4 linked regions of the Caenorhabditis elegans genome follow. The protein of the gene in region 4 interacts with the protein of the main gene of each other region in a pairwise test. Each region holds a gene or a part of one and is shown on either strand. Other genes may lie near its edges.

The links.
Region 1: the proteins of ftn-2 (region 4) and gst-33 interact in a two-hybrid assay, tested with the Caenorhabditis elegans proteins (one large-scale study listed by BioGRID).
Region 2: the proteins of ftn-2 (region 4) and W07G4.5 interact in a two-hybrid assay, tested with the Caenorhabditis elegans proteins (one large-scale study listed by BioGRID).
Region 3: the proteins of ftn-2 (region 4) and nhr-51 interact in a two-hybrid assay, tested with the Caenorhabditis elegans proteins (one large-scale study listed by BioGRID).

Annotation. Positions count from the first base shown.
Region 1 is NC_003283.11:3,464,999-3,472,712, forward strand, and holds gst-33 (glutathione transferase), read right to left. Parts: upstream 3,565-7,714; 5' UTR 3,492-3,564; coding exon 3,432-3,491; intron 3,168-3,431; coding exon 2,774-3,167; intron 2,723-2,773; coding exon 2,535-2,722; 3' UTR 2,453-2,534; downstream 1-2,452. Other genes in the region: slc-28.1 (Sodium/nucleoside cotransporter), read left to right, coding at 8-189, 427-695, 743-1,014, 1,068-1,141; srbc-29 (Serpentine Receptor, class BC (Class B-like)), read right to left, coding at 4,492-4,638, 4,680-4,778, 4,825-4,932, 5,249-5,613, 5,662-5,738, 5,790-5,884; oac-2 (Acyltransferase), read right to left, coding at 7,043-7,210, 7,274-7,553, 7,600-7,705.
Region 2 is NC_003283.11:13,044,579-13,052,201, reverse strand, and holds W07G4.5 (RILP-like protein 1), read right to left. Parts: upstream 4,223-7,623; 5' UTR 4,204-4,222; coding exon 3,957-4,203; intron 3,901-3,956; coding exon 3,270-3,900; intron 3,191-3,269; coding exon 3,028-3,190; 3' UTR 2,964-3,027; downstream 1-2,963. Other genes in the region: srr-1 (Serpentine Receptor, class R), read left to right, coding at 1-104, 152-290, 337-623, 1,018-1,192, 1,236-1,496, 1,549-1,611, 2,204-2,374; W07G4.8 (TonB-dependent receptor), read left to right, coding at 2,653-2,836, 2,882-2,958; lap-2 (Putative aminopeptidase W07G4.4), read right to left, coding at 6,306-6,458, 6,618-7,544, 7,603-7,623.
Region 3 is NC_003283.11:15,669,650-15,678,342, reverse strand, and holds nhr-51 (Nuclear hormone receptor family member nhr-51), read right to left. Parts: upstream 4,337-8,693; 5' UTR 4,318-4,336; coding exon 4,264-4,317; intron 4,216-4,263; coding exon 3,874-4,215; intron 3,821-3,873; coding exon 3,710-3,820; intron 3,663-3,709; coding exon 3,410-3,662; intron 3,079-3,409; coding exon 2,723-3,078; 3' UTR 2,459-2,722; downstream 1-2,458. Other genes in the region: Nuclear hormone receptor family member nhr-52, read right to left, coding at 320-667, 714-761; K06B4.15 (DUF1084 domain-containing protein), read right to left, coding at 6,559-6,634, 6,685-6,766, 6,834-6,918, 7,214-7,288, 7,333-7,485, 7,785-7,844; K06B4.4 (Conserved plasma membrane protein), read right to left, coding at 8,252-8,327, 8,377-8,458, 8,513-8,597. UniProt on the Caenorhabditis elegans protein: Orphan nuclear receptor.
Region 4 is NC_003279.8:3,677,081-3,684,221, reverse strand, and holds ftn-2 (Ferritin), read left to right. Parts: upstream 1-3,294; 5' UTR 3,295-3,322; coding exon 3,323-3,379; intron 3,380-3,427; coding exon 3,428-3,781; intron 3,782-3,830; coding exon 3,831-3,932; 3' UTR 3,933-4,042; downstream 4,043-7,141. Other genes in the region: rab-8 (Ras-related protein Rab-8A), read left to right, coding at 163-192, 240-394, 442-502, 562-951.

The sequences.
Region 1 (7,714 bases), on a different chromosome or scaffold from region 4:
GTTTCAGATTCCGAGCTATTCGCAGTTCTTACTAGTGGATTCTCATGCACTGGTGGTACTGTATTCGCCGCTTATGTAGCTCTTGGAGCATGCCCAGAATCGATTCTAACCGCAAGTATTCTCTCAGCTCCAATGTCATTAGCGTGTTCAAAACTCATGTACCCAGAAGAACAGGAGACAATTATCAAGGTTAGGTTTTGTGTCAAATATTTCCCAGACAGACAGACAGACATACAAAAACATAGAAAAATGCTTGTCTAATTTTTTTAATTGCCTTGAGGATGACCCATAAGTGAATTTATTGTTTTAATAAAGTTAATCGAAACAATAAAAAAGGTCGGGACCTTCACGAGTCCGACAAAGAGGCTTAGATAAATAAACTTAGATAAACTTAGATAAAATCTTGAAACTTGAAATCCTTTCCAGGAAGAAGACTTCGAGCTGGACCATGAGAACGAAAAAGGATTCTTCGATACTCTGTGCTCGGCGGGAGTTGCTCTAGTCCCTACGGTTTTTGCAATTGGAGCAACTTTAGTAGTAGTCATGTCTCTATTAGCTCTGCTGGACCAAATTTTCTTCTACATTGGTGACCTAATCGGGTATGATGGGTGGAGTTTTCAAATGTTATTTGGTTATGCATTTTTCCCGTTGGCATACATAATGGGTATTACCAATAATTCGAATCAAACCTTGTTGTGAGTTAGGTTTGTTTTCGAATAAAAAACACACATATTTGTTAAAGAGTGGCTCAACTTATGGGCTCCAAAACTGCCGTAAACGAATTTGTGGCATATGATAAACTGGGTCAACTTCAAAAAGAAGGCAAGCTGGATCCCAAATCAGTGCTAGTTGCCACTTACGCACTCTGTGGATTCTCCAATTTTGGCTCAATGGGGATTCAAATGGAAGTTATTGGAGGTCTGGCTCCAGGGAGGAAAACCGTGGCTTCCAAGGTTATGCTCCGTGCTCTTTGTGCAGGAGCCATCGCTTGTTTTATGAATGCTACTGTTGCAGGTTAGAGGGTTTTGAATAGGAAGTTAAATTTATTAATTTGAAAAAATTTTCAGGAATCTTAATTTCCGATCCAGTGGTTTGTAACAGTGCAAACTCGAATTCCACGTGTTTTAGGATACCTTCATGATATGAGGGTGTGTTGTGGATATTTGTTTTGTAATTTAATTTGTAACTATGAAAATTTTGAATAAACTTTATACAGGGTGTGCCAAAAGTATGGTAACACATGAAGCGCTCTTTTACATGAGCTTTTCGCGCGTCTGCCACGTTATACGTACATTCTTCTATCGAATACTAATAGCTGAATAAATTTCCTTCAATTTGACCTAAAATTTGCAATGTTTCCCAATAAGGTGCGGTTTTAATCACCTCGGCAATTTAGCGAACCCTTTCGAAAAAACGGTGTTTTGGCACGCGGCACTTCCCACACAAACACACCTCCCACGCACGCCAATAATTTTCAGATGTACATATGATTTTTATGTTAAATTCAAAGTTAAAGAAGTGAAGAAGCGCTTTTGATTGTTTTTGTAGCCTATAAAAATTTTCTGTGTCGGCACTGGCGCCTAGCAATAACCTTTGAATATTTCATGAATTCAACTTTGCGAAATTTACTCAGTTTTTTAGGTTTCGCAATCCATCTTTCTGGTGACTGTGTCATTCAAGACTTCAGCTACTGCCACAGTCCATGACAGAAATACCACGATAGAAATTTTTTGGGTTTTTGTTTTTAAAGAATCTCCAGACCAAGAGCATTCTTTGAACTATAAAAACTTATAAGAAACTTAATGGATTCCTTGAGAAAAATGTAGAAATCCCGCAGAATGCCAACTTGCGTGCCAAAAAGATCGTGATCTCAAAAGTTCTGAAGGCCTGCAGCAATGTGGATGGGGATATTTTGAAAATTCAAAACGTTCATCTGGTCAGTATTTTATGGAGAACAAAACTTGTACAAATTGATGTAATAACTCTCTCCACACGTGAAGTTATAGAGCTGCAAGCGTGTTACCATACTTTTGGCCCACCCTGTATATTGAGTTATTGAGAAATTCAAAACTGTTTTATATAACGGAAAAAAAATAATTAAATTATACATATTTTGGGAACTTCGAAACTGATTGTGAGCGAAAGGTAGGCGTTTTGCGCGTCCGACTTTTTTCGGGATCGGTCATTCATTATGTTTCTTAAGTGGGTGGTGGAACCCAGAATATGTCGGGCGCGCTAAACAACTCCTAGATTTTGAATTTGCTGCGTCCATTTCGGAATCGCTTGAAACCGGTAAACTGCATTTTATAAGAATAATTAAATTTTTTTGCAAATGTTTGTTAATAGTTTCGTTACAAACTTCAGTTTTTTTTTGAAAATTTTCATAAAAATTTTTACGTATAATTTTCAGGCAAAACATATTTTTATATAAAGTTTTTCTCAACTTTTTCTACATTTCCAATGTTCATATTTATCAAATAGTTTACAAAAACATTACAATTCATGAAAAAAACATTTCAAATAGCCAAAAAAAATTATTTTGAAGAGTATGGTCTTGTTTCCAAATATGGCTTGAGCTTCGGGTGCTCAGCGATACGCTTGAAGTAGGCATTGACTACTGGGAAATCGGTTCCCAAAAATCCTTTTTCCAACTCAATCAAAGAAGTTGTGGTTTCGAAGAAGAAGAGATCGGGAAACGAGATTCCACTGTCCAGGAGGAATCCTAGAAATAAATGATATAATTTTTCAACGCCTTCTATTTTTTCCAACTCACCAGATTTGCTCTTCTCCAATCTCTTGCTCAGAAGCTTGAAATACTTCTCCTTAGCAGGGTCCAACGAAGTTTTCTTCAACTCGTCGCGATCCCCAGCAGCACCAGGATACCCAAAGGCAATCATTGCCCATGGCTTCATGTCAATCAAGAAGTCCTTGTAAAGATCGGTGAATGCGTCAGCCCAGGCCTTCTCTACCGGAGTTTGTCCAGCAAATCCAAGTTGATTGGCAACAAAGCGAGCGATTGCAACGGATTGTGGGATCTTCTCACCGTCGACTTCTAGCACAGGCATTTGCCCGAACGGCATCTCGTTTTTAAGGGTGTTTTCTTCCTTGATCCAGTCATCGATTTCGTATCGGACATCTTCGAATTCGACGCCGGCCATATGGAACATCTGGAGAGAGTTTCAGTTAATAAAAAAATGTGGAAGGTTTCGAAAAAATTGAAGTCTCGTAGTAGAAATTTTTTAAAAATTTAGAAATTTTTATGGGTAGTCAAAAAGTAGTGAAACTCCGATTTTCAAAAATTTTGGAATTCGATCCAGATAATTTTTTTCCTACGATTTATTCTTCTAATTTTGTTTTACCTTCAGAAGCAAAATTTCACAAAAAGTAACCAATTTTGGATTTAGACAATTTTGTTTTAAGTTGAAACTTACAGCTCTCGAAGCCTCTGCATATCCGCGAGCGTTGAAGTAGTGAAGACGGTACTTGGTCATGTTGAACTCGAGTGTGTCAAATTTAGAATCTGATGGGAAAAAACTTTCCGAAAACTGTTTATATACTCACCCAGTCACATTTTGATCAGAAAAATTCATAGAAACAGAAAGTACACAGTTTCGGGTCTAGGCACAAACTAGGCACGGAAAATAGTATTGGAGAATGAGAGAGTGGTAGAGAGTGAGACAAATAATCGGCACAAAGCATGAGAAACACATACTCCAATATGACGTAGAATGTGGGTGAAGATTATGAAGGAAGAAAATTATTTTAAGGAAGTGAGAGTTTTAAGCTTTGGATTTGAAAAATTGTAATAAAATTTCTCGAAAATAATTTGAAATACGTTTTTAAGTGCAATCAAAAACTTTAAATTTACTGCGATTTTTAAATTTTAATTAATTTCAATTTTTTGTATTTTAAAATTATTGGGGTTTGAATATGGTTTGCCGATTCGTCGATTTGCCGGAAAATTTAATTTTTGGCAAATTGCCGATTTGCCGTTTGCCCAACATCAACTTGCCGGAAGTTTTTAGAGCGATTTTTTATAAGACGCAAACACTTTAAACTGTGCCTTTTACAAAATTGTCTCGTTTGGTTTAGATATTTTCGAAGGAATTTGCTTATTTTCCAAAATAGATGTAAGAGCATACATGAGATGCGTACAATGTTGCCGGTTAAAATAAAAATTCAGAAATTTTCAACAAAAAAATGTGCAAAACTACAATTTTCTGAAAATTTTTGGCAATTGCCGTTGTTCCGGTAAATTCGGCAAATCGACAGTTTACCAGTTTACCGATTTGGCGGAAATTTTCGATTCCAGTAGTTTGCCGATTTGCCGATTTGCTGAAAAAATCGTTGCCGCCCACTCCTGGTTGGAACTTCGATTTTTCAATTATCAAAAGGGCCTAAATACCATAATGAAATTTTATTTGCAGTCGTCATTTGGCATTCCGATACAAATATATGTTTTATTTTATAAAAAATCGAAAAATTCAAAAGCTATCTGGAAATTTTAAATTGCCCAACCGCGACCGAACTTTTCATTTTTGCACTTTTTGGCTTTCCAAAATACAAGAGACTTGAGACGACTGTTGATTCTATGGCACATCCGATGGTTTTCATTACCGCTGTAAAAGGACCCAGAACCTGTAAAGGGTGCACTTATTTTAGAAATAAAAATTTTTTACTTCAATTGAAAAAATGTTAGGCCACATCCCGCCGCAAAAGACCGGAAGAAAATCAAATAAAAACACTGTACAAGTGTCCAGTAATGCCAGACGATTTGCCTGGAAATTGAGGAATTGAAAAAATAATTTAGTAACATGTTTTTACTTTTGTAGGTTTGTTATTGATTGGATGTTTCTTTAAGTATTTCCGATTTCGTAGGAATAAATTGACAAAGAGAAGTATAGATACAAATACGTTGATGGAAAATACAGTCTGAAATGAATAGAATTTTGTTGTGTTTGGAAGTTTTAGAAACATTTCCTGTCTCACCTGGTAAACTTTTTTTTCCAGATTTTTTGAATTTTTAGAAACAAAATTTTTTTCAGAAACAAATATTTGAAATTTATTAGGAGGCCAAAATAGTCCCGGGTTAAAAACCATAATTTTACACTTTTGCCCTATTCCGCTTTTTCACTATTATTTCAAGTTTGACAGGTGGAAATATTTTATCGAGTTAGAAATTCCCAAAAAAACTCAAAAACTGCCCGAAACCGAAAAATGTCTGCTGCTTATTGTATAGTTTACTTACACTTCTTTGAATTCTGAAATAGTTGGAGAAACATTTGTTAACTGCACAACCGAAATTCTTGCAGTTTTCAGGAATTAAATTTGTTTTGCAGTCACAAAATACAAATAGAACTATATAATCGAAAGAGCCATATACCAGGGCAACTTGGAAAATTAAAAATTTCGGAACATTCTGAGCACTAGTTCTGTATAAAATTGGAAAGTACACTGCAGTGGCTCGTTCTAGTGCAATTGAAAGTGCGATTATAGAACGGCATGATCCGACAATATACCAAGGAAGGCCCAAAAAAATTAAAAAGCTGCGATGTTCGACCATAAACAATGAATTCTCAGAATAAAATAAAAGGAAACTGATGTATGACAACACTGGAAATTTTTTAATTAGAAAAAAAGAAAACACTGGTTTAAGCTTACACGACAGACCAAAACAAACGTCCAGAACGAATCGATAATAAAATAATCGCATTTCAGGTTTCCGCTGGGATTTTTTCCTGGAATAAATGAATATAATGAGAAAAATGGCATGCAAAAATTAGACTCACAAAACAATTATCCATACTAAATTGAGATTAAGTAGGACATCAAATATTGCACAGACTATACCAGTCACAAGTACCAGTACAAGGATGGTATTCATAATGGATTAATTTCCTGAAAATCATAAATATTCCGCCAGTTACTGTTGAAAGCAAAGCGGCAAAAAATTCGGCAAAAAACAGCGAAAAAAAGGCAAAACTTTTTATTGAAGCGGCAAAAAACCCTCACTCTCATGTGCTTTTTAAAAATGTGAATAGGGAGGAAGAAAGGATTTAATTTTTTTAAAATGAAAACATTTAATATTCAGATCATATGTGAAAACTATTTTGGTCCAATATTTTTAGGCAAAATTTTTTTTTAGGTAAAAAAAGTCGCCGTTTATTAAAACTTCAGCAAACCGGCACACTGGAATTTCACCAATTTGCCAATTACCAACAGCTTTCTTGTATTACAAAAAAATGCTGAAAATTTGATTTTAAGCAGCAAAATCGAGAAATTTTCCTAAAATTATCATGAAAACTGAGGAGGACATTCTTTGAAAAAATTATGAAAAACTGGAAAAATTGCAAAAATGAACAGTTTTACTTATATTCAAATTTTTCATTAACGGCAATTGGCGTTTATCCACCTCCCACGAAACCCTAGTTTTGATGAACAACTATATTAAGATTGTCACAATTAACCAAATTTCCACAGGAAAAATGTTAGGAAATCAATTGAAAATATCAAAATTTAAGAAATTCTCAAAATATGCCACTCAAACATAATTTTTTTAAGTGAGCATAAGTTGTGTGAGGATGAAATTTAAAAAATATTATGATGTTTGAATTAGTAAGCTAACTGATCTAATGAGCTGAAATTTTTCTTTCAAATAAGAAACAAACATGGCACACATTCATGTCTACCCTAAAAATATATTCCTGTCCGAGATTTTGGAACTAATTAAGTAATCTGAAAACAAAAACTTCCGTTGTTTTTCAATTAGTGGAAAGCAGAATGTTCTGTGTGTTTTATTTTGAGTTTGTTAAGAGAAGTTGCCAAAAACGGATTTACAAGGTATTGACGCTCTTGAAAAATCAATAGGTTCCGGGTCAAAAGGTGTTTTCATTATTTAAGGATCATTTTCTGCCAATAAGTGTACAAATATACCGAAAATACAAAAGTAAGGACTAGAAAAAAAAACAAATAAAACTGAAAAATAATATCAATTCTTATTCAAAACTAGACAATAAAACAACTATATTTTTTACACATATAATCACAATTCGTTTCTAATTTTTCCGATAGTCTTCTCGAGAATAGGCTCACAAAGTTTGACAGCAGCCGGCATCAAATGCCCAGAATTGTCTAGGTAGGATAGTAGCGAGTTTCGATCAAATGTCAGGTACTTGCCCTTTTCCAAGAATGCGGGATTCAAGTCGATAAACTAAGAGAAATTTAATTAGAAATGATCAAGAGATTCAATTGAATTATGAAGTATGTGGCATACCTGACACTTTTTGCACCGTTTCTCTGCAAGTTCGAATCTTTTTACTTCGTTTTTCACATCCTCATCCGCTGTTTTTTGGTTCAAGTGCAATTTTTCCATATCTTCCTGACTTTTCATCACGTTTTGTAGAAACGCATTCAAAAAATTGACCGGATAAGTTGGAAGGGCTCCCAAAATGAACACTTTCTTGGTGTGGCTTTCGTAGAAGTCTATGTTTTCATTGATCTGATTCAAAAATGTATCGTTTGCTTGAAAAGAGGTTCTTAAAGATTGGGAGTATCTGAAGTTAAGAGGAAAATTAGGAAAAATAACTAAATTTTATTTACTTGGCAATGATGAACAACACATCTGGTTTGTGTTGAGCCACGTTTCTTTTGAATGTTTTCAGAGCATTCCCAGAGTCGTAAGAGTCCGCGTATAACGCAAATCCTTCTGAAAGAA
Region 2 (7,623 bases), on a different chromosome or scaffold from region 4:
ACAATAGGCCTCGGCGGTCTGTATGTTAAACCGGGTGTCGAGCCGACACAACTACCATCTCCGCCAGCTCCCAAACTTCTCGGACCATTCGAACCACTTGTCAGGTAACATTTGTGTCTCTTCGGGGAGGATAATTTAAATACGTTTTTAGATTCTCTGGACTAGATTGTCATAAATTACGAAAAGAAAGCATACGATCAGTAAAAGGAATACTAACCGGAGGTGTAGCAGTAATCATTCTTATTATCTCTATCATCAAAATTATTGTATTAATGCAAATTGAAGATAAAGTAAGTAACATTCAGAATATAAAGCATGCGAATAATTTGTTTTCAGTCATTTTCAATTGGTTGGGCAGAATCAACAGTCTATGCTTTCATGGCAGTGCAAGCATTTTTCAGTGCAATTTCAGTAATGTGCTGGACTCGTGAAGGATTTGTGTCCCAGTTTGAAGACACACTTGCTCGATTAAGAACAATGAGATTATCGACAAGTCAAAGCATTGATGACTATACGACTTATCACAGAAAAGCTGCAATAATGATTATTCCAATATTTGTCGTATCTTTAAGCACTTCATTTTATTCTTCTGTTACCAATCGGTACATGTTGAATGATTCTACGTAAGTTTGAATGTGTTTTATTTCAAAAATGGTATTAGGTTTTTGTATACATTGGAAAACATCTGACTGGGCATGTAAATATTTGTTTATTGACCTGTTCAATGAGGAAGGGGTCTAATGAGAAAAGGCTATTTTAGGTTAAAAGTGGAGTATCGTCAGCGGGAAAATTATTTGATACTACTGAAAATTACCACATATCATAAGAAACCTTTTAAAGAAAATTTTCGAAAATATTTCGTTTTACAGTCTACTGTTTTACAGTGTTGAAAGTGGTGAAAACTCAGTTTTAACCTATCATAATTTTGGAAGTCCATCAGGTTGTAAGCCGTTCTTTATCAAAATTCCATCAAATACACACCTATAATATATTGTTCCTAACTCTATACAACTTCAGCACATTCTATTCTGATTCCGTGGTCCATCAGCTAGCACCATTCATTGACTTTATCGGATGTATTGCCTCTGCACTTGCAGTTGTTATTTATGTCACAGTAAATACAGCTTTGAATCGAGAAATCAAACATTTCAATAAAGAACTAACAAATAGTGCAAGATTTCAACAACTTACGGTATTGATTCTTATCATTTTATTGTAGTAAATCCAAATTTCAGCTGCCTCAAGTGTTAAATAACTACAGTAAACGGCACTCGGATCTAATTCAACTCACCAGATTTGTGAACCAACAAATGAGCAAATACGGTTCACTTGTACCATTATTTACTTTAATTTCATTTGTAAATGCTGCATATATTGTTGGAAGTTTCAAATCTGTTATGGATCCAGCTATATATGTTCTTCTCAATGGATGGACTATTGTTTGTATGGGAATTACTGTTGCTGGATTATCGCCACCAGCAAAAGTTCAGAGTAATGTAAGTTCTTGCAAATTATTCAAAGATGTAAAACTAAATAAGACATTTGTAGATCCAGGAAACCGCTGAAATTTTAATGCATGACGATGTACTGCAAACATGTGGAGATGATCAGGTAGGTATTTCATAACCCTTGTGGGGGATGTTTTGTGGTTTTTGATTATTTGGCTTTCTCTCGAGTGTTGAAAACTTTAACATACATATGTCACATAAAATGTGTAATGCTCAGAATGCCAAAGATGACTCCACCCATAAATTGACTCTTTTCAGTTTTTGCAAAAAATTGTGATTGTTCATTGCAACTTTGCTGATCTTTCTTTATATATTTCCCCTAAAATATTAAACTGAGCCAGCCATGTTGTTAATCACCCATTATTTGTAAACTTCAAAGTATTCATTGATAATTTTTTCGGCAAAAAGTACTGGCAAAATGCCAAATTTGAAAATAATTTGAGCTTTTTAATAAATCGATAGCAGTTTCGCATGTTTAAACTCGATTGAAACATATTCAGAAAATTATATTAAGACAAAAAAGGTTTGTCGACTTCTAAATTTACGATAGATGAAAACTGAAAAATTGTCACTCTTTAACAATTTTTGTTACAGTACTCTTTGTTGGAAATTCTTGTTTTCAAGTGATAATCGAGTTCTGTTGAAGTTAAAAAACTCACACAAACTAAATCTAATCATTCAAAAAACATTTTCAGATGCATCACACCTATCGTGTAACTCTAGACCGTTGTCTTCATAGCAATTCAAAAATGGCTTTCCTAAATGCCTTCCATGTCGACTCGAATTGTTTCAATCGAATCATTTTCTTTGTTCCAAATATTTCCGCAGCCATGATCCTCTACAGATTATCTCATCCAAACTTGTGAACCTTTTCCACTTTTGTATTTGTATTTTAATGTGTTTCTGAAAACCCAAAAATATCCATTTTGGTATGAAGAATGGACAAAATAAAAACGAAAAAAAACATGTGTTTCTGTTATGTATTTCCGGTACAGTACAATAATATTAGGTACAATTTGGACATTTTCACTTTCACTTTGAAATTATGAAATCTAGTTTTATGATCATCCCATAAAATTGAAAAATCCCTCACTTTTTGGAGGTATACTTGTTTATTATTTATTATTCACTATTGAATATTCAAATGCATAGATTTCTACTTTTTTCAATTCTTTTTCTTCTAATTATATCAGAAGTTTTCTCTCAAACAATCCCTCCAAGGGAGTCAGAAGTAATTGAAATGAGTGGAGATGCAAAAAGTGTAGTTGATTTGCTTCAACAAATATTAGAAGCCAGTCGGGCACAAAACATTAATCAGCAATTTCGAGGTAAGTGTACTTTTCCGAATTCTTATCAACAAAGTTCTCTTCCAGTCCGAACTGTCGACGGAAACATTATCTTGGAATCTGTCGACTATAAACCTGGAGCACTTGAACATTTGAATTCATGAATTGATAAACTGTACAATTTGTTTATTATTGATGAACTGGCTCAAAAATGAAATTAAAAAAAAACACCATTATTGGCAATACTTCTGAACGAATCTTCTGTGATTTGCGGCAGGGCTTTGATCTTCATCTTCATTCATTTCTATAGTTGTTGGTTGTGCTTGTAGCCATTTGGAATTTTCGGAATTTTGAAGTTTGCTGATAACATCGATGAATTTGAATGAGTCAGATGAGCTGAAAATAAATGAAATTTTTTAAAGTGGCAATATAGATTTCTAGTTGGCTTTCCACAAAACTAATATTAAATACTCACCATTCGGTATTGATGTCCTCTCTCTCAAAATCATCCTCGTTGTCTTCACCATCATCTCGGAATCTTGCTGGAACTGGAGGGCGTGGTAGGTGTGTTGAAGAGCTTTCTTCATCGGAATGAAGTAACCATTTACTAGCTGGCTCGTTGTGAATAGTTTCAATTCTATCACGGAATGCCTTGTCGGCGTTGGCAGTATACTTCAAGCACATTGCCACTTCATTTAGAAGTTCAAATGAACTTGCATTGCTCTCCGAGCTTTCACTTTTCGATTCTCCGCTTACAAAAGACGATAAGTCGACGTTGAGAGCAGCATTTCCATCTGGTAGACGGCTCAGCCAACTCTTCACAGTATCAACTTCGTGTGGAGTTTCAGGAGATGTGTCAGTTTTGCTCTTCTTGGTCAAAAGCCACATGTTGTCGTCGTCATATGATTCCATATCAAGAGGCAAAGTACGTCCGACCTTCTTCATTGGAAGTCGTTGACAATTTTGTGAAATTCGAATTTCTCCCATCTTGAGAATACGTTCGTGCATAGCTCTGATGTCTGAGATCGGAAGATCCAGCTCAAGACGTACGTCATCATCCACATTCAGAATAGAATTGCCAGCAGGGAGCCCAAGATTACAAGCGGCTGAAATGAAGAGAAATGTGAAAAATAATTGAAAGCAAATAAATTTCGTCACTCACCAAGTTCTTCGGCAACAATATCCATCTGGTTCACGAGTTTTCCTTCTTTTTTATAGAATGCTCTATCTAGATCTCCAATAAGTTGTCTTTCGCGTTCTCTAAGTGATACAATCATTGCAGCGATTGCTTGACGAATATCTTGTTGAGCTTTATATCGATTCAGTCTCAAATTGTTTTGCACTTCATTCAGCTTTACACTCTGAACTTCCAAAAGCTTTACGAGTTGCTCGGATTGTGGAACTGGCATTGTGAGATGGCTTACTCCGCTGAAATGAAAATAAAAATTAACTTTAAAAAAAAAAATCACGGATGAATAAAAATGGAAGATGAATGGTTAAAGAACTGTACAAGATTAAAGTTAATAGGCGGTTAGTATTTGGTGGCGCCAGTTTCAATGAATGCAAAAGGCGATAGGGCGGCGCGACGTTGCATCTGTTACACCTTTGTGTTGGCAGAGAATAGGAGGAAAATTGATCGTCATATCAGTCATATTACCTATGATAACGAATACGTATGCGGTTTGTAGGCAAAAAAGTAACTGAAAAAGTGTCAAAATTCACGTATGAAAAACAAAGATCTACCATTATTCTAAATGCTCTTTGTATTCATGAGCTCCCAGGAACATACGTGGGAGAGCCGAAATCGATTTTGAGCAGGGCGCATAAAATAAGAGGGGAAAGAATGAGAAATGAGGAGAAAGAAAACGCAGAGCACATGGCTCCACCCCCACTCGTGTTATTTTTGCATAATTTGTTTTCTCCCATTGTTGTTTTTTTTTCTTCGCGAATCGTATAGTGATAAGAAACAAAAATGTTATGGAATTTAATGAAAACAAGTTTTGAAATTTGAATTTTTGTCTGAAGAAAAATATTACCCAGACGCGAAATTATGCGACTTTTGGACAAAACTACGGTCCAAGGTCTTGACACGACACAATTTTATTATAACAAAAAGGTGTGCTCCTTTAAAGAGAACTGTAATTTCAAACTCATTTTTTGCGTTATTCTTATCGAATAAATACAATTTTATTGAAAAACTATGCAAAATCGATGAAAATTAAGTGGAAAAAAAAATTTGAAATTACAGTACTCTTTAAAGGTGCACACAATTTTTATTTAACAAAAATGTGTCGTTTCGAGACCGTGTACCGTATTTTTAGCGAAAAAAACGCAAAATTAATAAAAGAGAGCAAAATATTCGTTCGTTGCCGAATGATATAAAGAATACAAAAAGAGAACAAGGTTATAAAGATAAAAAGGACAATCTAAAGTGTAACACCCATTGAGGTGGTCTGACTTGAATAAGAAGAACATGTGAATGGTTTGGGATCTCTGTGTTAAAATTGAAAATTGATAGATAAACCTGTTTTTTGATGGGTGAGGTGATAGGTTCGAAGGTTGGTCGTAAATTTTAAAGTTTTTTTCATTTCTTCTCTTAGGATTTTCATTTTTATATGGCTTGGAATTGATCATATTATAATGTTCAGCTCGATCTGAAGCATAAAGTTTTTTAAGGTGAATTTTATGCCTTTCTTTACTTTTGTTAAAACTGTTTTAAATAATTTTTCAAAATAAACATTTTAAAAGAAACTACCATAAACTTTTTTGCTCATCGAGACCTATCTGAATAACTCTGTGCGCCTTTAAGAAAGTATGCCAAAATCGTTGAAACTATAATGCAATAACTACAAAAAAAATTAAAATTCTCTTGAGAATTCTCGCACAAGTTTTGAAATGTCAACACTTACACACCCTAAAGCTGTAAATATAACAAAATTTTGAATTCTTGAAAAAAATACAAACTCGGAATTTCAGCTATTTATTCAAAGTGGAGCCACTAAACAAGGTCTTGAAAAGTGGTTTTTGACAGTCCATTGACACTTTTGGTTTCAGTTCTTTATCGGCACAAAGATAAGAAACAAAAAAGACAAAGAGCCTATAATAAAACAAGAAGTGGACACACAACTAAAAGTTTGATAAGTTTTTTTCTCTATTTGGATATTTATACTTCTAATCCAGTCTTTTGTTCAGCCGGAACTATTCAGTTGTGCATGTTGTTTGTGATTTTCTGGACAAACGTATTTATTTTACATGTGAGAATGGAGGAAGGATTCCGGGGGCGAATGATAAGAAACAAGCTCTGGTTCCCTGTATAAGGGCTAAATAAAGTTGGGATGCAATTAAAATAAAAGAGAGAGAGAGAGAGATATGATATCATATCTTTTTCAGTATGGAATTGAAAGATACGGTATTGAACTAAATATGTGTGCCTGGCAGAAAACATCGGTGCACAGCACCAAAATGAGTAGGGAGAGCATTAGAAAATGGTTAACGAAAAATCGGGAAATTTCTAAACGTGAGGAAGCACAAGGCCGGCGACAAGGGTGACAAGTGGATTAGGGAAGCTAACTGATGGATGATCTCCTGAACATCCTCCCATGTCGATATGAGAATACTTCAATGGGTGAGAACTGTTTGTGCCATGTTCGTCAATGCGGCTAGCCTGAAAAATTGTTTCAAATTTTATTCCAGAGACAGAAAATTGATCAATGAAATTGTTAGTTTATAATTTAAGGACGAAAATTCATATTTCATATTTTTTGGCTTTCTGAGTAATTTTTAAATTTTACTTAAACGACAAATTTCATAATTGAGAACGTACCATTTGCAAGAATGCAGCTGGCGTCTGATGACCTCTGAGGGTAGCAACTGATGGCTTTGTATTTCCCTGCCGAAGATCAGCCTGTTCACATTCGGCCATATGGAAAGCGAAATCCTCTGGATGAAGTCTGCTGATCTCAATTGGTTGTCCAAATTCATCTCCGACATTCTGCACACGACGAGCCCATCCACTTGCTTTAGCTGGACCATTATCCATAATAGCTGCGTAATATCCGTATGAAAGAACTTCGTGTCCGGTCAATGTGGCAACAGTGAACAAATGCGGATTTTTAGCATTCAAAGCTTCTTCCTTGGCAAGAGTGAGGGGGTCAAGCATTGTAAGTCTTCCTTCAGCATCAGTGTTATAAATGTGAATTCTCTTTCCACTTCTGGAAGTGATAACCTCATCACAAGTATAAGCATGAGATCCAATACTGTTGCGAACCATGCACATGTACCCGACAGCCTTAATGTTCTTTGGTTTCAGAACATCGATAGCCTTGAAGAATCCACCGACAACTGCAGATCCGTACTTGTCACGGCACATTCCGAACATGTGTCCTCCAGTCTTCAAGTCACAGCCTCCAGTATCAATGGTAACTCCCTTTCCAACAACGAAGAATGTATCCTGAGTCTCTCCTTCACCAACATATTCCAATCGAATAAGACGAGCCTGATGCTCCTTGACACAATTGGCGGCTCTATTGACAGCAGCCATCAATGGGAAATCTTTCAAAATGACACTCTGATCGTCGACGACTGTTACTTTAATGTTTCCATTTGCAAATGCACCTTGGATATACTCAGCTACACGTGGTGGAGCCATGCGTTCTGGTCCAGCCTCTCCAACATCACGGCACACTGTGAACGAAGCATCGTAAGCTTCAACAAGCTTTTCCAAACGGGCAGATGTGTCACTGTTTCCGATCTGAAAAAATATATTAATTGAAATTTGTTCTACCAAAACTGAAAATTTCGAAACTTACAGCCAATAATCCCAATTGATT
Region 3 (8,693 bases), on a different chromosome or scaffold from region 4:
AAATAGCACAGTGTTAACTTTAAATTCCACAAGTTTAAATTTTCACTTCCTTGTCAGTTATACTTCAATTTCAACAACACCTGCTAACAAGGGAAGTGTTTAAATGGGATTCCTGACTTCGGAACAAAAGTAGTGTCAAGCCACAGTAGGAGGTCTGAGACGATTCCTCTGTAATTTCCAGCTGCTATGCCCAAGGGAGCTCCGAGATATTTTGGTCCGAAGTTTCATCACTGATTTCAGTTGATTTTGGTCCCTTCACCATTGTTTTACAATGGAGGGCACTGGTATGACCCTTCTGGACAAGGTAAATTCTACTTACCCTTTTCATCAACTTCATCCTGCTGCGATCTGCCAAAATATCGTCCATACTTGGGTCCTCCAAAGAATAGAAGTTTAAAAAGTTGGAATAATGAACACCATCTTTCACAGCAAGGTTTCCGAGTAGAATTATCAAATCTTGATCCACCGAATTATTCAGGTTAAACAATTGCTGTTTCGGTTCCGAAAATCTCATTCCAATTTCTAGGCACTTTTTGAATCGACAAAATTGACACTTTGGAAGAATTGTGAAGCTTTCGAAACATTTTTTGTCATATTTGCAGGTAAACTTTGCGTAATTTTTCGTTGCTCGAGTGAAGAACATTTTGCACGCCGAGCATGATAACGCCTGAAATATTTGTGTGTTTTTTTAGTTAAAGATATGTGAATCTTACGCCAAAATTCCTACTGCTAGCATACGAACAACAAACTAAACATTTCATTGAGAATCGAACCGGGTGAAATAAATAAGCATATATTTGAGCCAGTGGCTTGCTCACTAGTAGTCATATAAGCTGAAATCAGGAGAAATAGAGCAAGGGAGAGAGGGAGAGATAGAGGTGGAGAAAAGACCAAGAGATTTGAAATTCATTTAGCAGGTTGATTTAATGCAGCATACACCGGTGGATACAAAGTACGAAAAATGTTTTGTTTGTGGAAACATGGCCACCCGCAAGGCGACTGCCACTCGCCCGGATATCGCCTCTGCAAATGTTAAAAACAAAAACGAACCAAAACAATTCCCTTTTTGGTTTCTTAAAGAAATATTCGTATGGTTTGCGGTAAGACTCGAGGGTGCAAACAGGTAGGTAAAAGGCGCCTCGATAACAAAATAATATTACTACTGTGTTCCTAATTTTCCTAATTTCTTTGAGCTTTTTCATGACCGATCTCTTGATTTTAGCGGGATTAGTTGGTTTGAAGCGGATTTGTTTGAATGAAAATCCCTCACAATCTCTCAAAATCCACTACTGACGTATTTTCTAACATCTCTGCCAAACGTAAGGGTTATGAAACTCCTAGGACTGTGCCGCCCGTATCGAAGCCGCCCGCCTTCACTATTGCCTCCACGCCTTTCGCCGGGAAAATGCCTCCGAAAAATTGACTAATAAAAATGAAATGAGAAAAAACACAAATTTGTTTGTTTTTTGTAAATATACTGACGAAATATTTGAGAGCAAGGCGGACGGTCTTACTATAAGAGGCTGTAAAAGTGCGTTCTGATCATGCCTTGCCAGGACGGAGCGACTAATAATGTATCCTATATGTCCTCAGGTTTCCAGTGACCGGTTTCCAGTGATCAAATGAACCTTTCCCGGTTACCTACTCATTAGCGTTTATGCATTCCACTTGACTTGTAATCGCATTTAGCTACCGCCTAGTTTTGTTGTTTCAAAACTTTTATCTAATTTCGTTTCTCCATGCTAAAAACAACATCAAGCTCCAAACGACAGGTGGATTTGGAAGCCAAGGAATGTCTTGTGTGTGGAAATACTGCGTACACTAGGAATTATGGGGTAAGAAAAATACATTTTTGTATTAAAATCATAGGGCTCAAATAAATTATTCCAGGTTTTCTCGTGTTCCGCCTGTAAGATGTTCTTCCATAGAACGCTCGAAAAAAAGTTGCAATTCACTTGCAAATCGAGCAATCAGTGCTCGACGAGCTTTAAAGTTTATCCAAAGTGTAAAGCTTGTCGATTTGAGAAATGTCTGAAAGTTGGTATGCGATACGAGGCAACTTTTCTGGAAATTGAGGATCCGGACAAATTTTGCAAATTACTCCAAGATTTGAGTGTGCGGGATAGCCAAAACTATTCCACTTTTTCGAAATTTTACTCTATGGAGAATCCTAGTCTGGAGGATATTTTGAGGGACAGGAATTCTATGAAACTTGTTGAGAAAGTTACTAGTCCAAGAAGAGAGGAATGGCTCTAAATTTTAGTTTTTAGAAATCAGGTGCCGAGTTTCCAGCTAGCGACTTATTGTTTTTGGGTGCTTATTCTAGAGTATCATATTTCTTGGATTTTGATTTTATTCAAACAATGAGTGATAAAGATAAAACTATTCTTCTTAAGTACCATGTCGTACGAACCGGCTCACTTGCCCGTGCAATGAAGTCTTTTGTAGAAAAACGAAGTCTAAGCGAGGAGTATAGGAAGCAACTGGTGGATTCTTAAAGCTTGCTGCTGACTTTGCATCCCAAAAGCCAGCTGAAGGAACTGAAATTGATCGTGACGCTGCTCGTGCCGCATTCAATCAATTCCTTGGACAAGTTGACACCTATATTAAGACTCAATCTTCTGAAGATCAAGCTGCCTACGATTCCTTCATCGCCAAGAAGAAGTCTGAATTTGAGGCTCACTTCGCTTCCAGAAAGGCTGATCAGTAATTTTGATTGTGTTCAATGAATGAATTTATTTTTATGAAATATAAAGTCCTGAGAACTGTCGGCACACGGTTTTTCGTTTAAAATTTTAACGTTCGACTTTTTCTGTACAACACCACAATCCACAAAGGTGTCTGTGACGAGTTGCTTGAACTTGAAACTTGGTATCATACACTGAAACATCATGCTGACGTGTTGCATGTCATTGGTGACACGATTGATGACGTGAACAAGTGAAATAAGCTCTTGGAATCTGACAGGCGCAGTTCCTGGATTTGTAATTTGTAGGTGACGGAATAAGGCAGAGCTGTATTTGATTTGGTGTGAGGCCAGCGTGTTTCGAGCGAAATCCGAGAGATTGTGGGATATCGCTGAAAATTTTAAAATTTTCTGTTAGCAAGCTTGGAGTTGAAAGCCTCAAAGGGATTTGTCAGGTCAATCAACTGTTGATGACTCTTTTTTCGAACCAATCAGGCGCCGCGCCCGCCTAGCGGCGACGTCCGCCTGCCTCGCACCGTGAACCGCGGAGAAAGATCCACCTTTCGTACTATGTGGTGTTAACACCAAGCCTTTGACTTCTTGCCAAAGTGCAGAAATAAGGGAGAGGCCGGCCTGAGGGGGCAGGTTGGAGGCAGGTGTCAGGCCCTGAACCCGCGCCTGCCTCCTATGGAAGCCTTACAGGAAACACATGTAGAAACTTACTCGGATTACAAAAGAATATCAGGCTAAGCAATTGATATTCTTCATTTGTAACTTTCAACTCGATGAGCTTGGAAACCAGCAGACAACATGTCCTGTTCAAAAGCCCCGGAGAATCCTTGAATAGATTATGGACAGCGTCTGGGTAGACATCTTCTCCAGACGGCGTCAAAAGACAATCTCGTTGTTCTCGCAATGTTCGCATACTTCCGTGGAAAACTCCTGTTCGCAAGCAGTTGAATGAAAATATTAATTTCTCAATATAATTTTTAAAGTTAAACCAACGAAAAAACTTATCCTTACTCTATCAGCAAAGCTAATATTATTCATAAATTCAAAATTTGAAAAATGGGAGATCCTGGAATACACGTCAAGAAATGCCCATTCGTGAGCGGTTACTTTCTGATTGGAAGGCTGTAAGAATAGTTTTCTTTGGAGGGTTTCCATTCCGAAATCCAAAAAAAAACCTTTCTCATAATTTTCATCACATTAGAATCTACCAAAACATCTCCCAGACTCGGATCCTCTATTGAATACGAGTTGAGCATTCTCCAATGTCTTTGCTCATCCATTTCGCTGAGATTCATGAGCATTCGCTGTATCTTTAAATCCATTGATTCTTCAAATGATTTCACGCGTCGAGGGAAGGCTTGCATGCCCATTTCTAAGCATTTTTGATAACGACACGCTTTGCACTTTGGAAGAATAATGAACTTTTCGTAGCACTTATTGAATTTTTGGCAGCAGTAATGTAAGTTCTCAACGACCATTCGATGGAAAAACATTTTACAAGCGAAGCACGATAATACCTGTTCAGAAAAGAAAATTGATGAGGTAGGTATAGGCAGGGAACTCACCCCATAATGCTGCCCAGCTGCTTTTCGATGGCAAATCAAACAGTTTTTGTTCATTTTAGGTGGTTGAGCAGAAATATCCAAAAACAAGTAGTGAGCCGACAGAGAACAGAATATCAATAGACACACAGACGAAAAAGGAAAATTCTTGCAGGTGGATTATGTGCGAGATTTTGGAAATAATGAACCGCGAGATGTTGAAAAGCGTGTTGAATGAGAAAGTAGTCATTAGGACAAATGTGATCACTGAGTTTTTATATGATCTTTTGAGCTTTGGAGAGCATATCTCTGGCTCAAAATTAGCGCTCCAAATGATACCATGACTAGGAAAAAGTTCTGAAGGTGCCAGCGGCCTGTTTCATTCAAAAGACCATGTTCAGAAACAGTCCTTTTAGTTAGTGAGGGAGTTTTGGGTCTTGTCGTTGGTCTCCGAGCATTTTCTTTTACTTTCCGACAAGCTCTTTGAATTGTAGGCCTTCAGATTTTGGGCCTTATTGTTATGATTTCATAAACATAAGCATCAAAAACTAAGAGGATCTTATTTTCTGTTTCAGACAGCCTTCTTCCCTGCAGTCTACTCAACGTCGCACAAGTGAGATAAAAATAGATTTGGGTTTTGTTTGCAATAGACCAAAAAATAACCTCATCTTGCACATAATCAGCACAGAAATCATCAGCAACCCGGTCATAAATAGCATTGAAATTGGAGCCAGGCGGTTTGTCCCTGAAATTTTTTTACTTTAAAATTGATTTTCACCGCACGGGCTCTATTTTTCTTTATTCTCACAGTTTTTCTTTCAAAAAATCGTGACTTCTCACTGATCGTCATAGCCTTGAACCCCACTGATGACACGTTTCGCTTCCAAAAATAAAATTTCGAAAAGTCAGTCTTCGGTATTTTCTTTGTCGGATTCGGCGGTCTCGTTGGATTTTGTGAGTTCTAGTCGGCAATATTTTGCAAAAATCAATCATTTTTCCAGAGTCTCATTATGCTAAATCTCAAATTTCTCATCTTCTGCGTGATCATCGTGATCTTTGCGATTGTCAACTCGGACGCCGGCGACGGAGTGGACGTGAAAGTTTGTCAGGTTGCCGAAAATGTTGCTGTATACTATTTTCCAAATCATTAGTGGAGATAAGTGCGGTAAGCCATCGATTGCCCATCACTACTATCGTTGCGGTGATGACACCAACGAATGCTGTATTGCTCTTGAGGTAACGTCTCAGGTCTTCAGATCCTGAAAAAGCTTTAAAGAGCTTGAAAGAATCGTCTTAATTTCAGATTTGGGTGTACATTTTGATGGGGGTCTTCATCGTGTGCTGCTGTTGCTGCTGTTGCGGTTGCCTCTTCCGTTCGAACAACAATTTTAATAATTCGAACAACTCTTATGATAATATAAGTAATGATTCTGAATAATATTCGATTTCATTTTGAACAAATAAATATTACACAGAAGGTTCAAGTGTATGAAATACGGTTCAAAAGCAGTCGCCGGATTTTCTGTGAAAAAAATTTAGACTTTAAACACTTCGTAAAATAAGCTCGAAAAGAACTCTAAATAGGAACGATAGGTGCTAGATTTCAACAATTGAATAGGAAATGTCAGTTGTTAGATGAAAGTAAGCAGTTAGAGTAACTAGAACTAAAAAACTGGAAAACTCCACAGTTGACTAGGTTTTAATGTTTTTATTCCAATAATCAAATACCAATGTGAACTGTTTTGAACTATAAATATCTACGCTACACTAGACATGTCTACATTTTACCTATGACAGTAATCAGTTTTAGTGTTAAGAAAGCTGGAGCGGCTGAAAACTTTGTGAAACTGCTTTTGGAACATCTGTCACCCAAGAAAGCAATTCTTTATGAAAGCTGTCCTAGTAATATAATATTGTGTATCCATTTCCCTATTATTTACATACAAGTGCAACATTCTCAATAGTAACAATTGTATGTGAGTAAAAAAGTACTTCAAAATTAGTGCTCCAAATGATACTATGACTAGGAAAGGGTCTGAAGGTGCCAGCGGCCTGTTTCATTTAAAGGCCCATGTTCAGAAACAGTCCATAGTGAGGGAGATTCAGGTCTGGTCGTTGGGCTTCAAGCCTATTATTCTACTCTCCGACTCTTAAGCTCTTTCAATAGTAGGCTTTCAGATTTTGGGCCTTATTGTTATACTCTCATAAAATTAATCGAAAGTGAGCAAAATGTGTCGTAAAGTTACAAGTAGATTTTTAGGGTGTCATTTATTTTTGAAGAAAATAAATATCAAAAATTTAGACAATCCAATTTTGCTTTTAAACAGCCTTCTTTCCACCAGTCTCCTCAACTTCGTACAAATCTTCCAGCACCTTCTTAGACGACCGGAAAAAGCTGAAACAAAAATAGATTCGGGTTTCATATCGAATAGACCGGAAACTAACCTCATCTTGCACATAATCAGCACCGAAATCATCAACAACCCGGACATGAATAGCATTGAAATCGGAGCCATGCGGTTTGTCCCTGAAAGTTTTAATTTTAAAATTGATTCTACAAATGAAATTTTAAAAGACTAAAATATAATACTAACAATACAAAAACTGTCGATTGTCCTCAACTTTCAAACGAAGATAAATGTAGAAATAGAAGATGGTGGAGGTGACTAGACGGATTGCCTGAAATTTGAGCGCACATTAAAAATTCCGAGGTTTTTTTTGCGGTAAAACTACACGGAAAATATCGAGAAATTAGAATAATTCTGAATTTGTTTTAAACGAAATCTTTTCTTTTTCCAGTAGGTGTCAGATTGTCCCATCAATTGATCTACAAAAAATGCGGGATTTTTTCACACATAATTATGTGACGTCAGCACGCTTTTACTATTAGCCATACGAAATCTATTGAGAAGTCTGCGTCTAAAATCCCGCATTTTTTGTAGATCACATCGAAGTGAGACAAAACTTGAATTACCCCTAAAATTCCGCAGAAACTGAACCATCGCTTGTTCTCCGGCTCGATCAACACGAACAATAAACCATAGATGATCTGTAAAGCTTTTCTAAAAATTTGAATTTTTCATATCTACTCACCGCAAAAAGTATGAACGAAACGAAGAAGCCGATATTGTCAAAACGCTCGACTTTGCGATCTCCGGTAACTGCGCAGAATGAATCAAACAGATAAAGCATCGTCTGCCAGAGATACAGGCACATGTAGCCGACACTGGTCATTGAATATTGATTCTGAAATTTTCAGACTGTGAACAATTTACGGGCTTCGACCGCGACATTTCGATTTTGGAGAGCAATGCCTACATGCCTGCCTACAGCCTATTATCCTCATTTTGGTGAGAGCTCAGTTATTTTTCACAAAAGCTCTGAGGATTGTGGACAATTTTGAAAGCTCGTCAATTTTGAGAGCGAGAATCGCTTTGTGTAGCGGAGCGCGATTGCATAACTCCATTTTTCTGTCCACGGCCGAGGTTCACACACAGCCACTCTTCCATTTTTGCAAACGAAGAACTCTGGAACCTATAGCTCACCTCAAAAGTAATGCCAAGTTTGAATAGAAAATTTTCGATGCCATCCACAATTCGCGACATTTTGCGGCCGTGACCGAACGAAGGAATGACGAAAATTGATTACACGGCAGTTTTTATTTAGAAAAAAAACTAAATAAAAAAATGAATGTTCACGGGATTCAATAAATAAATTTTTTGAACATTTTTTGTTACCCAGACGCGAAATTTACGGGTTTTAGACAAATTTCTCAATTTTCAAGAGTTGAAATATAGTTTTCTAAAGGGAAAATTAACTTTTTTCTCAAATATTTTTTGGTAGTTTTGTTGCAAATGTTTAGTTCTTTTTGAAAAATCTCAGTACACCTTTGATCAGCCTTTGAGTTATTATGGTAATTAACATTTATAAGCAAAATTTATAATTTTTCAAAACATCAAGTTTATTCACTAATAAATAAATGCGAAAAATTACAAGTATTTCATTTTCCCGTTTAAACTGCCTTCTTTCCTCCAGTATCCTCAACTTCGTACAGATGTTCCAGCAACCTCTTGGACGATTGGAAAAAACTGAAATAAAACAAATTCAGGGTTTGTATCCCATAGACCAAAAAATAACCTCATCTTGCACATAATCAGCACAGAAATCATCAGCAACCCGGTCATAAATAACATTGAAATTGGAGCCAGGCGGCTTGTCCCTGAAAGTTTTAATTTTGAAATTGATTCTACAAGTAAAATTCTAAAATACTAACAATACAAAAGCTGTTGATTGTCCTCGACGTTCAAACGAATATAAATGTAGAAATAGAAGATGGTGGATGTGACTAGATGAATCGCCTGAAATTTGCGTTAACCCTACGAATTTTCAAGGTTTTTGTGAAAAAACTACTCGGGAAGTATTGAGAAATCAGAAAACTTCTGAATTTGTTCCAA
Region 4 (7,141 bases):
AAAAAATGAAAGGCTTTTGTACTTTTCGCTCCGGGACCCATCAGTGTCAAAAACTCAATGCACCTTTAATCTCACTTTATTTTAATTGTTTTTCTTCGATTTCGCGTTACTTTTCTATAGTTTTCCTATTTTCAGAGCTTTTCTCTCACTCACTCCAATAAAATGGCAAAAACTTACGACTACTTGTTTAAGGTGAGAACTTTTGCATGCCAAGATGTCAAGAAAACATCGTTTTACAGCTCTTGCTTATTGGAGACAGTGGAGTCGGCAAGACGTGCGTACTGTTCCGGTTCTCAGATGATTCGTTCAATAACTCGTTCATTTCAACAATTGGAATCGACTTCAAAATCCGTACGATTGAGCTCGATGGGAAGAAAATCAAACTTCAAATTTGGTGAGCTAGTTTTTATTAAATCCGATTTTATAAATATTTTTTTTCAGGGACACAGCCGGGCAGGAGAGATTCAGAACTATCACAACGGCTTATTACCGCGGTGCTATGGCATGTTTTATCAAAATTTATTTCACAAAATTTCAAATTTTAATTAATTTATCTTTCAGGGAATCATTCTGGTGTACGATATCACCAACGAGCGATCATTTGAAAACATCAAAAACTGGATTCGCAATATAGAAGAGCATGCGGCTTCGGATGTCGAGAGGATGATCATCGGCAACAAATGTGATATTGAAGAACGCCGTGAAGTGTCGCGGGACCGTGGAGAGCAGCTCGCAATCGAGTACGGCACGAAATTCCTGGAAACGTCGGCGAAGGCCAATCTGAATATTGATGAAGCTTTCTTCACACTGGCTCGTGATATCAAGAGCAAGATGGAGCAGAACGAGATGCGTGCCGGTGGATCAGTTTCGAATACGGGTCGTGTGAACGTCGGTGGATCGGGGACACAGAAGAAGAGCTTCTTCAGCAACTGGAGCTGCAATTTGCTTTAAATTTATTGCTCTCTCGCCATGTTCTGCCCTTTTCGAAGTTGATTGTGATTCAATTCAATTCAACTTCAATAGTGTACCATATCTCTTTTCATATTTTCTTTCCGTTTGAATTTTCTGTTCCAAAAACTCCTCCTTCGCACATTTTTGTATGCAGTACGGTTATAATTCTAAAAATAACCTTTTTTCTTCTCTCTTCTCTTCTGACCATAATAACCAACACTTGCTTTGTTTTTACCATTTTCGTCCCGTCTATTTCTCTGTGTCCGCTCTCTCTCGCATATTCAATTCACCCCCCTACACCCAGCATTCTGATGAGATTTCTTTTCAGGATTTCAGATTTATTTTTTTCGCGAATGTATGAACCAAATTGCATGTTTTCCCAAGTTTTTTGAATTTTCTGAATTTTGATCGAATATTGGGGTTTTGTCGGTCATGCAAATTAAAATTAATTTTTTCTAGAAGTTTTTTACTGAGCTTCTATTTTGCAGAGTCAGATTCATATACCAGCGACATTGAATAGTAGAAAGTACCACAATTTTGAATAGTTAAACACGAAAAACGTTGCAAGTATTACGGAGACGCTAAGTTCTGAGAATGCGTATTGCACAGCATATCTGGCGCGCAAAATATCTCGTAGCGAAAACTACAGTAATTATTTAAATGCCTTCTGAAGTGTCGATTTACGGGCTGGTCTTTCGATACGATTTTTTTTTAAATTGTGACAACAATATTCGATTTTCCTCCAATTTTTCGTTTAAAAAAACTAAAGAAAATTGAATATCGTTGTCACAATTCGAACAAAAATTTGTTTCGAAAATAGAGCCCGTAAATCGACCTACAGTAGTCATTTAAAGAATTACTGTAGTTTTCGCTACGAGATATTTTGCGCGTCAAATATGTTGCGCAATACGCATTCTCAGAATTAAGATATCTGATGTAATTAAAGAAAAAATCTGTCAAGGTTTGAGTTATCATAAATGTCTGCTTGATTAGTTGATCAATGGAAAAACGAAGACAAAAAGAGTAAAAGACATTCGTCAAACGGCGACGACAGAGAGCACGTACCGCCTGATAAGCGACTCACGTAGCCTATCTTATCAGCATCTCAACTGTGCACGCACACACACAAAAACCCCCGGCTCCATTTGGTGACGACTCACGTGATATGATGGCAGAATGATGATCAACTTTCCTACTTCATTGCTATCGATTCACCGATGATGATAAAAAAGGGTCAGGGACAAACAGAAATCACGGGATACGACCTAGATTGTACACATAACAGAAAGATTCCGATTTCTACTCATTCCTTTTCAATAATCATGACCGAATTCACGTCACTTTTTAACATTCGTTTTTCTTCTTCTTTTCTTCAAAATATATTTCATTTTTAAAAATGAATTCTGTTCGAATGCTCGCTAAGAATGCAATTAGACCACTCATCAAAACTCGGAGTTATACTGGATTCTCTCAGTCGTATGTTATTTGCTTGAATTTTAGATTCTTGTAACTCCTGAACACTAAAAACACTTTATTATTACTTTAAAAAATTCTGAGAATGCGTATTGCACAACGTATTTGACGCGCAAAATATCTCGAAGCGAAAACTACAGTAATTCTTTGAATGACTACTGTAGGTCGATTTATGGGCTCAATTTTCGGAATGTATTAAAATAATTTATTTATCGAAATGACAAAAATCGAAAAATTGAATATCGATGGCACAGAAATTCATTACAAAAATCGTTTTCGCTACGAGATATTTTGCGCGTCAAATATGTTGCACAATACGCATTTCGAAAGCGAGTGGTTCCCCTAATAAAGGAACTTTTAAGTTGAAGCATAATACTATTACGGGAAGACAAGTTTCTGAAAATGCGTATTGCGCAACATATTTGACGTACAAAATATCTCGAAGCGAAATCCACACTAATTTTTAAATGGCTACTGTAGCGCTTGTGTCGATTTAAAATTACTGTAGTTTTCGCTACGAGATACTTTGCGCGTGAAATATGTTGCGAAATACGCATTTTCAGAATTTTGTGTTCCGTAATAAGTAGAACAAATAACAAAAAATTCAACTTTTTCGCTTGAGATCACATTTTCGAAGTTTCTAATTTCATTCGCACTTAATTTGCCCTATCTTCCTTTTCTTCCAATTCACTTGATTTTTGCCATTTTCTGACGCTGATCATAGTTTTTTTGCCTTCTCAAAATCTCATTCTTTTCCTTAACCTTGTTCCTTATCAATTGATAAGATGCACACCGTCTCCGCCTCCCGACGTGCTCCACCCCTTTCCTGCTTAAATACCAACTATTTATGCTCATTGAGCAGTATTGCAGCCTTACCAGCCACAAACTACCATCAATAATGTCTCTCGCTCGTCAAAACTACCACTCCGAGGTTGAAGCTGCCGTTAACAAGCAGGTACGTCTTTATTTCGATGTTTCTAAACTAAATCCCCTAATTTTTCAGATCAACATTGAGCTCTATGCCTCATACGTCTACCTTTCAATGTCATTCTATTTCGATCGTGACGATGTTGCCCTTCCAAACATTGCCAAGTTCTTCAAGGAACAATCGGATGAGGAGCGTGAGCATGCTACCGAGCTCATGCGTGTGCAGAATCTTCGTGGAGGACGTGTCGTGCTTCAGGACATCCAGAAGCCAGAGAATGATGAGTGGGGAACCGCCTTGAAGGCTTTTGAAGCCGCGTTGGCTCTCGAGAAGTTCAACAACGAGTCGCTTCTGAAGTTGCACTCGACAGCCGGAAACCACAACGACGCGCATCTCACTGACTTTATCGAGGAGAAATATTTGGACGAGCAGGTGAGGATTATTCTATTTTTTTTAATTTAGAATCTGATGAAATTAACAGGTCAAATCTATCAACGAATTCGCCCGCATGGTTGCCAACCTCAAGAGAGTCGGACCAGGAGTTGGAGAGTACGTCTTCGATAAGGAACACTTTTCCGATTAATTAATATATATCTTATCTGCTCATCGCATCTTCTTTTGTTCTCTCTGTACATAATTATTTGCGAAAATTTACAAACATGCCACAATCTGTCAAATGAAAAGTATTGATCGAAGCGTTTTTGTTTGCCACAGTTCATTATCATACTAATTCCGTGTCACAATCTTTCTTGATAAGCCGTTTGGTCTTTAACTTTCCAAAGACGATTTTAAAATTCTCGGAATTCGAAATCGAAAATGGAACAGAATAGGAATGAGTGTGAAGTGCAAAAAGCAGGCAGATTAGAAGATTTCCATCGGCCTTTGTTTGACTTTTTTGCAATCGAGAAGCGATGCAAATGGGTTAGCGAGATGAGTTATGGATTCGCCAGGAAAAGAAGGACATTCTCCTCCGCTTTTGTTTATTTTGATTTGTTTTCCTGGGGAAAGATTGATTCGGAAGGTGTGATGGATGAATTGAAACACATCAGTTTTAACTCTAACAGTAAGATTTTCTATTATTTGATTTTTCAATAATTGTTCAAAGAATTGTGCTAACTCAATTTTTGCCACTGAAGCTTCACATTTACTTCGGAAATTATTGCAGAATTTGGCAATTAAACAAACCTTTGACTAGAAACTTCAGAAATTTCAAAAATTTTCACAGTTTTTTAAAATTATATTTGTTTATTTGGAATCAAATTCCGGCAAATCGGCAAACCCGTGAATTGCCGATTTGCTAAATTCTGGCGGAAAAACGGCAAATTATGGTTTTGCACTTTTTTTTTGGAAATTTCAGAATTTCAATTTTCCTCGGCAAAATTGTACGCATCCTATGAATGTTCCTACATCAGCTTTGAAAAGTAAGCTAATTCTATGAAAATATAATATATAGCAAAAAACGGGAAAAAAGTTTCAAAATGACACAGTTTTAAGTGTTTCCGCTTTTCAAGAAAAAATTCCGTTTCAACAATTCCGGCAAATCTGATATCCGGCAAATCGGCAAACCCACAAATTGCCGGAATTGAAAATTTTCAGCAAATCGGGAAATCTTCAATTTGCCGATTTGCCCAACGGCAATTGCCGCCCACCCCTGATAGAATCACAAAATGTTTTCAATTTTAGATTGCGACGTAGCCTAGAAAAAACTAAACACGACCAGCAATTTTCCAGAGTGGCCGAGTTTTTGCTTTTTCTAGGTCTTTTAGACATTTAAGTTAAGCATTCTAGCTTTTCAACAAATTTGTTTTGTAATCTTATCAATCCTATACCATGTTTCCTTATTACACTCCAGAACTACACATTTCCCCCCCTCTAAATTCTCTTTCATTATCTCACGAATTCACTCAATTCCATAAAAAGAAACGCTGTCTTCGCTGCTTTTCTCAATGAGTGAAAGAGAGACAGATTTATGCAATTCAATTCTTTTATTGTTATTAATACAAATCCGTTGTGTGAATTACGACGAGTGGCCACACACACATATGTATACACATTTAGTGACTTTTCATAGTTTGCCAATGATTCATCGACTTATTCAAAGTCTCCAGTAAACAAAAAGAGTTAGAGTAGGTGACTGGTCAAAAGAGTTTGTGTTTGAACTAATATAACACTTTCTACAAAAAGTTGACCTATCTAGTGACCAGGGTCCTACCGCGAACTAAACTCCACAAGTATCGTACCGTTTTCAATTCGTTTCCTTATGATTTTTGCGGCCACGTACATATTACGGGAACACAACATTCTGAGAATGCGTTTTGCGCAACATATTTGACGCGCAAAATATCTCGTAGCAATAAGTACAGTGTCTCTTAAAATGACTACTGTGGCGCTTATATCGATTGACGGGGCCGACCCAAAACTTTGAATTTCGAGAAAAATTTTTTTGAGCTCTATTATTCTAACTTTCCAGCAGAGCTAGAAAGATGCTTTTTTTGGAAAAATCATTTTGAAATTTGTTGTGGCTAGAAATGTTTTGAGACTTTGACATTTTCCCCGGAAAACACTTTCTCCTTTCAGTTTCAATATTTATCAGACTTGAAGGCTACCGTACTCTCAAAACCTTACACTTTCCAACATGGGTCCCGAGTGAATTTGAACCCAATTCCAACATCCATTATGAATCAAATCTTCTCTCCCCCATAAATGTCAAATAATAAGAGGTCATGAACCTAACAATACAAAGTATTCCGAAGAAAAAGTGAGACTTCGGAGCGATTAGCCTTGTCAAATCCGTCATACTTGTCCGTTTATCCTCTCCCCCGTTCTCCTGTTCAAAAGTACTTGACAAGAAGACGTTTGCTGGTTGAATTGGCCGAGAGAGATTATTTGACGAATTGTTTGGGTTTTGTGGCTTGTCCGGCAAATTTAAAGAATAAGCCAAGATGCAGGTGGAGCCAATATCATGTAAAAAACCAAAAATTTCGGACTTAAAAATCAAAAACCAAAAACTTTCAAAAATTAAAAATCTCCCAGTTCGTTGTACAAAGTTAAAAGCTTCCTGCTCCAGATTGTCCAAAGTGTACAAAGTTAAATTTTATCAAGTTTGAAAATTTTTCAAATTTCCCAGTTTGTTTCAAAAATTCAATTCACTAACTTCTGAAATTCCGAAAATCGCAAAAAAAACTTTTTTTTTTTAAATCTGAAAATTCCAACTTTTCCCAACTTTAAAAATAAATAAAAAAAACCACACTTTTCCAAAATTGTACCAAAATTCAAATTTTGAAATATCCAAAAATTCTAGACTTTCGAAAAATTCTAGCTTATCCGAAAAATAATTTTTTTCCAAAAATTGTTCCATAATATCTAAATTTAGAAAATTCCAAAATATCCGGTTAACCCAAAAATCAAAAAATTTATGGAAATTTACGTAATCCCTAATCTACAAATTTTTCTGAATGATAACCAAAGTCAAAAGTAAACAAAAGCGTCGGAAACCCCTAGAATAGGCTCCGCCCTTAGCTTGGCTTTTGTGCTGCTCGTACTTTCACGATAGGCACTTCTAGGCGTTTCCTCAGTCATCTATTTTTTGAGTTTAGAGCTCCGCTTTTATGATTGAAGATCTAGGCACGATGTAGGTGTAGGTGGCTTTGGGCGCTGATAAGTCGGAATTATTGTGCCTGCGTGAAACACCGCGTACCTAAACAGTGCTTCTTTAAACTATAAATTACTGTGACTTCTCCAAGGTCCCACCACGATCCACCTACTCTGCCTACCACCTATTCCTTATCAATG